Oryctolagus cuniculus: one gene and its partner. The protein of the gene in region 2 interacts with the protein of the main gene of each other region in a biochemical or structural test. Links are inferred from orthologs where the notes say so. Each region holds a gene or a part of one and is shown on either strand. Other genes may lie near its edges. The genes, in order: SRI and ANXA7.

Region 1 (3,804 bases), on a different chromosome or scaffold from region 2:
CTCAACCTTGGCTGCTGGCCGGGGTCAGCTGAGAAGCATGTCAAAGAGTACTACCCCCGGGTCCCCACTCTGAGACCCTGACTTCACTGGCTGGTGGTGCAGCCCAGGCATGCAGACTCCAGGTGATTCTGAGAGGCACCGGAGTTGAGAGTCCCTGGTGCAGATGAGGGACTTCCCACCCCCACTGCTTTGAAGTCAGAACGAAGAGTCATCCATCGGCTGTCTCCCCAGAGTGTAGGAGAGTGTTGCCTCCTGCTCTCACCTCCGGGACCCCTTGCCTGTGGATCCTGAGACTGAGGGGCCAACATGGCCACAGTGCTCAGTCTTTTAATTCTGTAAACCACACGTGTGTGGGACGTTCGGCACCAGTGACGGTGCTGGGCTTCATGCTAACAGCTGGGGCCCACCCAGGGCCGGGTACAGGGGCGCACAGACACCTGTGCTAAGTGCAGAAAGCCTGCAGTGTGTGCTGTTCGGCGACGGGACGGTAATGAAGGTTAGCTCAGTCCTCACTTGGTTGGAGGAGAAAGCCTGAAGCTAGGCAGAGCTGGAAGGAGTGTTACTCCTGGAGCTGGGTGAGACGCCCACGCTCCATGTTGGACCAGCTGGGTTCAGTTCCTGGCTCTAGCTCCAGTCTCAGGGTCTACAGTGCAGACCCCAGTACGCACCAGTAATGACTCAGGCGGCTGGGTCCTGTCACCCATGTGGAAAACCTGAATTGAGTTCCTCGCTCCCAGCTTGAGCCCTGGCTGTCAGACGCACCTGGCGAGTGAACCAATAGATAAGACCCTCCCTCCCCCACCCCTGTGAGTGTCTCCTCCCCCACCCTCCCCCTCCCTCTCGAGGTTGTGTGAGTTGTGTGTGTGTTAACAGCTTGCTGGGGGTACACTAGCCTCTCCTGTGTGGCCTTGTCACCGGTGCCTTCCAGCCTCACAGCTTCCTTCTCACCCGTGCAAAGCCGCTGATTCCCATCCCGCCGCAGAAGAGCTTGGGTGGGTTTTCGGTCACCGTCCTGAGGTTTTAGGTAGATTACGAGGGGCCACACCCATGCGGTGTGTTGCGGTTTGCTTGCATTAAGTGAGTTCTGACATGCCCTGAGGACACTCCCCGGCCGCAGGCGAACAGTGATGGCCTCGGAACGTGACTGCCCCAGTGTCAGTCATCAGGCCTTCCCGGACTCAGCACACAACTCTAACAGGCATGCTTCTCCGCTTTCCTGTGCAGGGAGAGCTACCTGTGTAGGGGGAGAGGCCACGGGCTGCTTGAGACAGGAGGGCACCGCGCAGTGCCTTTCATTAAAGGAAAAAGCGAAACAAGTGACCATGCAGAAAGGAGCAGAACCAGCTAGCTGTAGTCAAGGCAGGCCTACCTCCTGCCCGCCACGGGAGGGAAAAGAAGTGGCTCCTTAGGGTGAACCGAACTCACCGTCGGCAGTGTCAAAGGCAAGAATGTTTGGACGCGCTGTGCGGTCCTTTTTTTATAAGTGCCGACTGAACTCATTAAAATCAGATTTGCTTTCTAGAAGGAATTGTGTGTATCTACCAAGAGATTTACTTTAAAACTCCATAAAATTCAGCCGTGTGTACATTGAGTTGTGTATAAAAACAAAAGTATATGAATAACCACATCTTAATTAATTCGTGCTCAGTGTAGGGTGGATTTCTGAAGCTGTGTTAATGTATTTGTGTCCTTTTCTTACCAGCTTTCAACCTGGAGACTTGTCGACTTATGGTCTCAATGCTGGATGTATCCTTTATTTTGAGTCTTGTCTAGAATGTTGTTTCCTTACAAAAAAAATTCACCCTTAAGGGACGTTATCTCAGAATTAAAACCCAGTCAACATGAAGAGACAAATGACCACTCAGAAGCCTTCTGAAATGATTTGCCTTTTTGGATGTGATTTGATATGAAAAAAGAACGAAAGGAGGTTTAGTAAGTAGAATGTTAGTCAAACATACAAGGAAGAATCAAAGTAAAACAAGCCAAGGGTACTTTAAAAACTCATGGAGGGAGGCCGGCGCTGCGGCTCACTAGGCTAATCCTCCACCTTGCGGCGCCGGCACACCAGGTTCTAGTCCCAGTCGGGGCGCCGGATTCTGTCCCAGTTGCCCCTCTTCTAGGCCAACTCTCTGCTGTGGCCAGGGAGTGCAGTGGAGGATGGCCCAAGTGCTTGGGCCCTGCACCCGCATGGGAGACCAGGAGAAGCACCTGGCTCCTGCCTTCGGATCAGCATGGTGTGCCGGCTGTGGTGGCCATTGGAGGATGAACCAAGGGCAAAGGAAGACCTTTCTCTCTGTCTCTCTCTCTCTCTCTCTCACTCTCACTCTCTCACTGTCTACTCTGCCTGTCAAAAAAATAAAAAAACTCATGGAAAGTACATATGAAAAAATGTATGCATAGGTTTCAAAATTTTCTTGCACCAAAATTACCTTTGAATTCCATTTCTTCACAAACTTTCGGAAGTCCCCCTTCCAGAAGCCAGCGGGTCAGAAAAGCTTTTGTCTGTCACGTTGCCTGCTCCATGTGAGTGACACCTGACTTCCAAGCGATGCGATTTTTCACATCAGTTTTCCTGTGCTGACCTCATGGTGTCTTCCTTCCCACCTCGTTTCCCGGAAATTGTAGTCCTTGGGTACAGGAGGGTTTCACAAGGGAATGTCTGAGCATAGAGGGCCCAGGGCTGAGGATGAACAGCCCCGCCTGGGCACCCAGTTCCTGCAACACAGTGGCTGTTCGCGTGGGCTCACGGTGGTGCTGCCGGTTCTTGGTTATCGGCTCTCACAGCTTATCTTTCCCCACAGTTATTATGGTTACTCGGAGTTTCTCCTCCATGGGCCCTTTCTGTCGTATCTTTTTTTGTTTTATCATCAATTTATTCTTATTATAGCAAGAAGCATCTGCAGTGACTTTTTTTTAGCCATTTTATCAGAAAGAACATTGAGTGCCTCTTATCCTTGAACTTGCATACAATCATTAGAAAACATTGTGAAATAAAGAAGCTGTGATCCTTGATGGCGGTTCAGAGAGATATGTCTGGCACCATGGGTTTCACTGAATTTAAAGAACTCTGGGCCGTGCTGAATGGCTGGAGACAACACTTCATCAGTTTTGACAGCGACAGGAGTGGAACCGTGGAGCCACAGGAGTTGCAGAAGGCGCTGACAGCAATGGGTGCGTATGGCCGACCCAGCACAAAGCGCGCGAAACCAGAGGGTCACTTAGGCGCAGGAATGGGGCCACCCTGCTTTGTGAACTGGGAGGACTCGTTCTTTCTGTTTTTCATTCTCAAAATAAGAGCTCCTGAAGGCAGCTTCTGGTTCTTAGTGGTGGTTGTGTCCTCTTAGCCCAAATGAATTCAGCACCTTAAAGCATCGCGCTTGGTTCTTGTGTCACGGTCTCTCTTTTGGCAGGCCTTGAGTTCTTCCGCTGGACAGTTTCTCTCCCTTTCAGGATTCAGGTTGAGTCCGCAGGCTGTGAACGCAATTGCAAAACGGTACAGCACCAACGGCAAGATCACCTTCGATGACTACATCGCCTGCTGTGTCAAGCTGAGGGCCCTCACAGGTGCGTCCCGTGAGGTCGTGCTCCCCCACCCCCAGAGCCAGGAAGACACAGCTCGTCCGACATGTCACATATCTCAGTGCCTCTGTACTTTGATTCTCCCCATTTCCCCCCTTGGTTTAGTTGGATGTCTGCCATTGCTATTAGGTGTATCCGACCAAATTGTGTCCAAAAGTCTTTTTAGGTTAGTAAGTAATCTGCCTCTAAAATAATCTTCACTAAATCTTACTAAAATATTCCAGA
Region 2 (4,592 bases):
TGGGGCGCCGGATTCTGTTTCAGTTGCTCCTCTTCCAGTCCAGCTCTCTGCTGTGGCCTGGGAAGGCAGTGGAGGATGGCCCGAGTGCTTGGGCCCTGCACCTGCATGGGAGACCAGGAGGAAGCACCTGGCTCCTGGCTTTGGATCGGCACAGTGCGCCGGCCATAGCAGCCATTTGGGGAGTGAACCAACAGAAGGAAGACCTTTCTCTCTCTCTCTCTCTCTCTCTCTCTAACTCTGTCAAAAAAAAAAAAAAAAAAAAGAATTACATAAAGGAATAGAACACAATTTCATTTGCAGAAATCAATCTTAGAGAAATAATTGCACCAGTGCAAATTATGGACCAAGCTATTCATTACAGCATTATTTGTAACAGGAAAAGGTTAAAAATAATCTAGATGTCCACCAATAAGAGACACATGCAACAATTTATGGATATTAAAAAAAACTTATGGATATCCATGTGACAAAGACGCAGCTATTAAAAACGAAGCAGTGGGGCCGGCACCTTGGCTCACTTGGTTAATCCTCCACCTGCGGCACTGGCATCCCATATGGGTGCCAGGTTCTAGTCCCGGCTGCTCCTCTTCCAGTCCAGCTCTCTGCTGTGGCCCGGGAGTGCAGTGGAGGATGGCCTAAGTGCTTGGGCCCTGCACCCGCGTGGTAGACCAGGAGGAAGCACCTGGCTCCTGGCTTTGGACTGGCGCAGCGCTGGCCGTAGCGGCCATTTGCGAGGTGAACCAACGGAAAGAAGACCTTTCTCTCTAACTCTATCCAAAAAAAAAAAAAAAAAGCAGTTTGGGCTGGCATTGTGGCATAGCATGCCTGCAACACCAGCAACCCAAATGGACACTGGCTCAAGTTCCTGCTCCTCCACTTCCCATCCAGCTCCCTGCTGAATTATCTAGGAAGGCAGCACAAGACAGGCGTGCATGAGACCCTGCCAACCACTTGGAAGACCCAGATGGAGCTCCATGCTCCTGACTTTATCCTGGTTCAGTCCCAGCTTTTGCAGTCATTTGGGGAGTCGAACAGTGAACAGAAGTTCTCTCTCCCTCTCTCTGGAAGCCGTCTTTCAAATAAATTTTTTTTAAATAAACCTTTTCCGGCACTGTAACATAGCGGGTAAAGCTGCCACTTGCAGTGCCCACATCCCACCCATAAGGGTACTGGTTCAGGTTCCAGCTGCTCCACTTCCATTCAAGCTCTCTGCGATGGCTTGGGAAAGCAGGCGATGGCCCAAGTCCTTGGACCCCTGCACCTGTGTGGGAGACCCGGAAGAAGCTCTTGGCTTCTGGCTTCGGACTGGCACAGCTGCAGCCTGTTGTGGCCAATTGGAGAGGGAACCAGCGGATGGAAGACCTCTCTCTCTCGGCCTCTCCTTCTCTCTGTATAACTCTTTCATATAAATAATAAAATAAATCTTAAAAAAAGTTTTTAAATTCAAACATTAAATCATCTCCAACACTTAATATGAAGGGGGAAAAAGTAAAAAAGTGCACAAGAGGTCTGCAAACTTATGAGTAAAAAAAATACACTTATTGTCTCGTGTAGTATATGTACAGAATATTCCTGAAAGGATATTCAAGGAAGTATAAAACGGTGGCTCCTGGAGGGAGGCTTACTTTCCAGTGTACCTTGAGCACTTTCAGAATTATGTCTGTATCATCTATTCAAACAGTAGATTAAAAAAATAATCACAAAATGTGACTCAACAAATGACTTAGCCTTGCCCAGTGAATGAGACTCTACTGGTGAACCAGAGGTTTTCTTTTAAACATTCTCTGTCAGCAATCACTTTTTTAAAACCAGAAAATTATTGTTGCTTCTCCAAACCAATCTCCACCCAGTGAGTCACCTAGTAAAAGGGGAGGGGCCCACCATGGGCGTCTCACGGATGGCATGCAGCCCAGGGACAAGAGGCAGCTGTTGCAAACTTACGCGGGGTGGGGGTGGGGTTAAAAAAAAAAAAAAAAAGGAGGAGGAGGGAAACAACAGGAAAAGTGACTAAAGTTAGGCAACAGCAGATACAATTTTCCAAAACTGGCCTCTAGGTCCGGAACGGAAAAAAAAAAAAAAAAGCGTGGAGGGCACGACTGGCCCTGCCCTGGGAGAGGCGCTGAGGGCTGAAAAGCAGTCGAGGTCCGCAGGGGCCGACTCCTGCAGCCGCCTACCTAGCGCTCGCAAAGCCTTTCGCACCTGAGAAGCCAATCGTTACACTCGGTACCTAATCAGGGCAGATGACTATCGCATCAGCTCCCCATCGGCTGGCAGCAACCGGGGAGTCTGAAGGCAAGAGGCAGACAGTGTCACCTCACGGCAGACACCGGCCGGCTCTCCCTCGGTGCCTTGGTTTCCCTGGGAAGGGTCCGCCGCAGGTCACGGAACGGGAATCAAACCCGGAATGCTCTTTCCTCGAGTAGTTAAGAGTTGTGAACCCGAAGCAACGTACGACCTCGGGCTGGCGCACGCCCTAGGGTTAACTACGCACAGCAACGTCCCAAGTTTCCCTAAATATGCAGTGTCACCAGAGCGCGCGGTCCCCAGCCAGGCGTGGTCTTCAGTAACGCTCCTACTCGGCCTCCGCTGCGGGGGCGTCAGCAAGGCCACCCCTGGCCTCAGCCCCTCCACCTGAGGGCCGGCCGTCCCTGCCCGCTCGGATCTGCGCGCCGCCAAGCGACGGCCGAGACCCCCTCCTCTCTCCCAGGCGCCGCCACCCGCGTCCACCTCCACGCGCGCCCACCTCGCAGCCGGGTCCCGAGCCGCTGCCCACCCCCAACCCCACTCCTAGACCCTCCCCGCCCCTCCGCCACGCCCTGAAGCGGGGACACACGCAAAGCGCCAACATCTCCGGGACCGCGGGCCCCAGAGCTGGCCGGGGGCAAGGTGACCGAGCCGTGCGAGGTCAGGGTCGGGGGAGAGTGGGAAGAGGGGCCGCCAAGGCTCACCTGAGGGAGCGGCAGCGTCACAGCACAACCTGCTCGTCAGCAAGATGGAGCCTGGGCCGGCCGAGGGCGGGCGGGACGCCGGCGGCGGCGCGAGCCCGTTAGCAGCGCCGCTGCAGCTGGGACCGCCCCGCCGGAGCCCGGCGCGGGCCGACCTTTCCCCTCGCCCCGCCCCGCGGCCCCACCTGCGGGAAAAGTCGCTCCCTTCCAGTGACCCAGCCGGTTTTATCACATTTCTCGGTCCCCAGGCTCCCACCGCAATCCCTGCGCTCTAGGGAGTAAGGGAGTTGCAGTGGTTCTCGGGGGATCCCCGAGCCCCTTCCGTGGTGGGCGGGGGAGAGGGGCTGACACTACTCTCTGCCTGTGAAATGCCGTCCTTCAGGCATCTTCCGGCGACAAGCACAGCGTTTTGTATTAGCCACCTGTGAAATAGTGGTTATTGGTTCTTCTGCACAGCCAGGAAGTGAGGATGTACTAATCAAAAACGACTCCGCGAGCGAGTTCTTAGGTGATTCTAGGCTCCCTTCATGACAGCATTAAACACACACCAGAAGTGAACATTTGAGGCAATTACAAGGGCTCACACCAATATCTGAAAACGGGTTAAGGAATTTGTATTCCAGGGCAAAAACCACTCAACCTTTCACAGTGGTTCTCAGAATGTGGTCCCTAGAGCAGTGTCATCATCTGGAAACCTGTTAGAAATACAAATTCTTGGGGGCCCCGCGCCACGGCTCACTTGGTTAATCCTCTGCCTGCGGCGCCAGCATCCCATGTGGGCGCCGGGTTCTGGTCCCGGTTGCTCCTCTTCCAGTCCAGCTCTCTGCTGTGGCCCGGGAGGGCAGCAGAGGGTGGCCCAAGTGCTTGGGCCCTGCACCCGCATAGGAGACCAGGAGGGGGCACCTGGCTCATGGCTTCGGATTGGCACAGAACCAGCCGTGGCGGCCATTTGGGGAGTGAACCAGTAGAGGGAAGACCTTTCTCTCTGCTTTCTCTCTGTCTCTCTCACTGTCCGTAACTCTGTCAAATGAAAGAATAAATCTTCAAAAAAAAAAAACCAAAAAACAACAAAACAACAACAAAAAACAAATAAATACAAATTCTTGGGCTAGACCTTACAAGCACTGACTGAAACTCCAGGCCCAGAGTAGGGTCCTCTCGGGTGGTTCTGATGCACACTCGAGTTTGAGAACCTTAAAGCTATTATTTTACATGCATTTCTATGCAAAATCTTGTGGAAGTGGAGCAGGGTGGATTAAGATTTCAAGTGGAAAGAGCAACATACACACGTACCCAAAACGGGTAAAGTGGAAAGTACCTGAGAATGCAGCTATCAGTCACTGCCAAACTCAACGACAGACCAAACCACCCAAGACTCTGGGTACCCTTACTTTCCCCAGCTCCCACTAGTCTCTGTATCTGGCAAGTAAAAGGCCTTTCTGTCATACCTGCCCCCAGATTCCACCAGAATTTAATCGTTCCGGAGAAGCCTAGGCTACTCCTTTGTTTACAGTGTTCCTCGCCCCTCCCTCTGCCTTATCACCAGAAAGGAGTATGTTCCCGACCTGTAGGCCCAAATATCCAAGTCTCATCAGATACTACCATTTTATCCTTCCAACTTGTCCATCTTTCCTAGTATACAAGGCA

Evidence for each region.
Region 1: the proteins of ANXA7 (region 2) and SRI interact in a biophysical measurement, tested with the Homo sapiens proteins (2 studies listed by BioGRID and IntAct, with this or other methods). The link is inferred for Oryctolagus cuniculus from reciprocal best matches to the Homo sapiens genes ANXA7 and SRI.

What each region holds. Positions count from the first base shown.
Region 1 is NC_091447.1:47,179,951-47,183,754, forward strand, and holds part of SRI (sorcin), read left to right. Parts: intron 1-1,702; coding exon 1,703-1,746; intron 1,747-3,023; coding exon 3,024-3,171; intron 3,172-3,450; coding exon 3,451-3,564; intron 3,565-3,804. UniProt on the Homo sapiens protein: Calcium-binding protein that modulates excitation-contraction coupling in the heart. Contributes to calcium homeostasis in the heart sarcoplasmic reticulum. Modulates the activity of RYR2 calcium channels.
Region 2 is NC_091446.1:64,512,738-64,517,329, forward strand, and holds the start of ANXA7 (annexin A7), read right to left. Parts: upstream 3,085-4,592; 5' UTR 2,949-3,084; intron 1-2,948. UniProt on the Homo sapiens protein: Calcium/phospholipid-binding protein which promotes membrane fusion and is involved in exocytosis.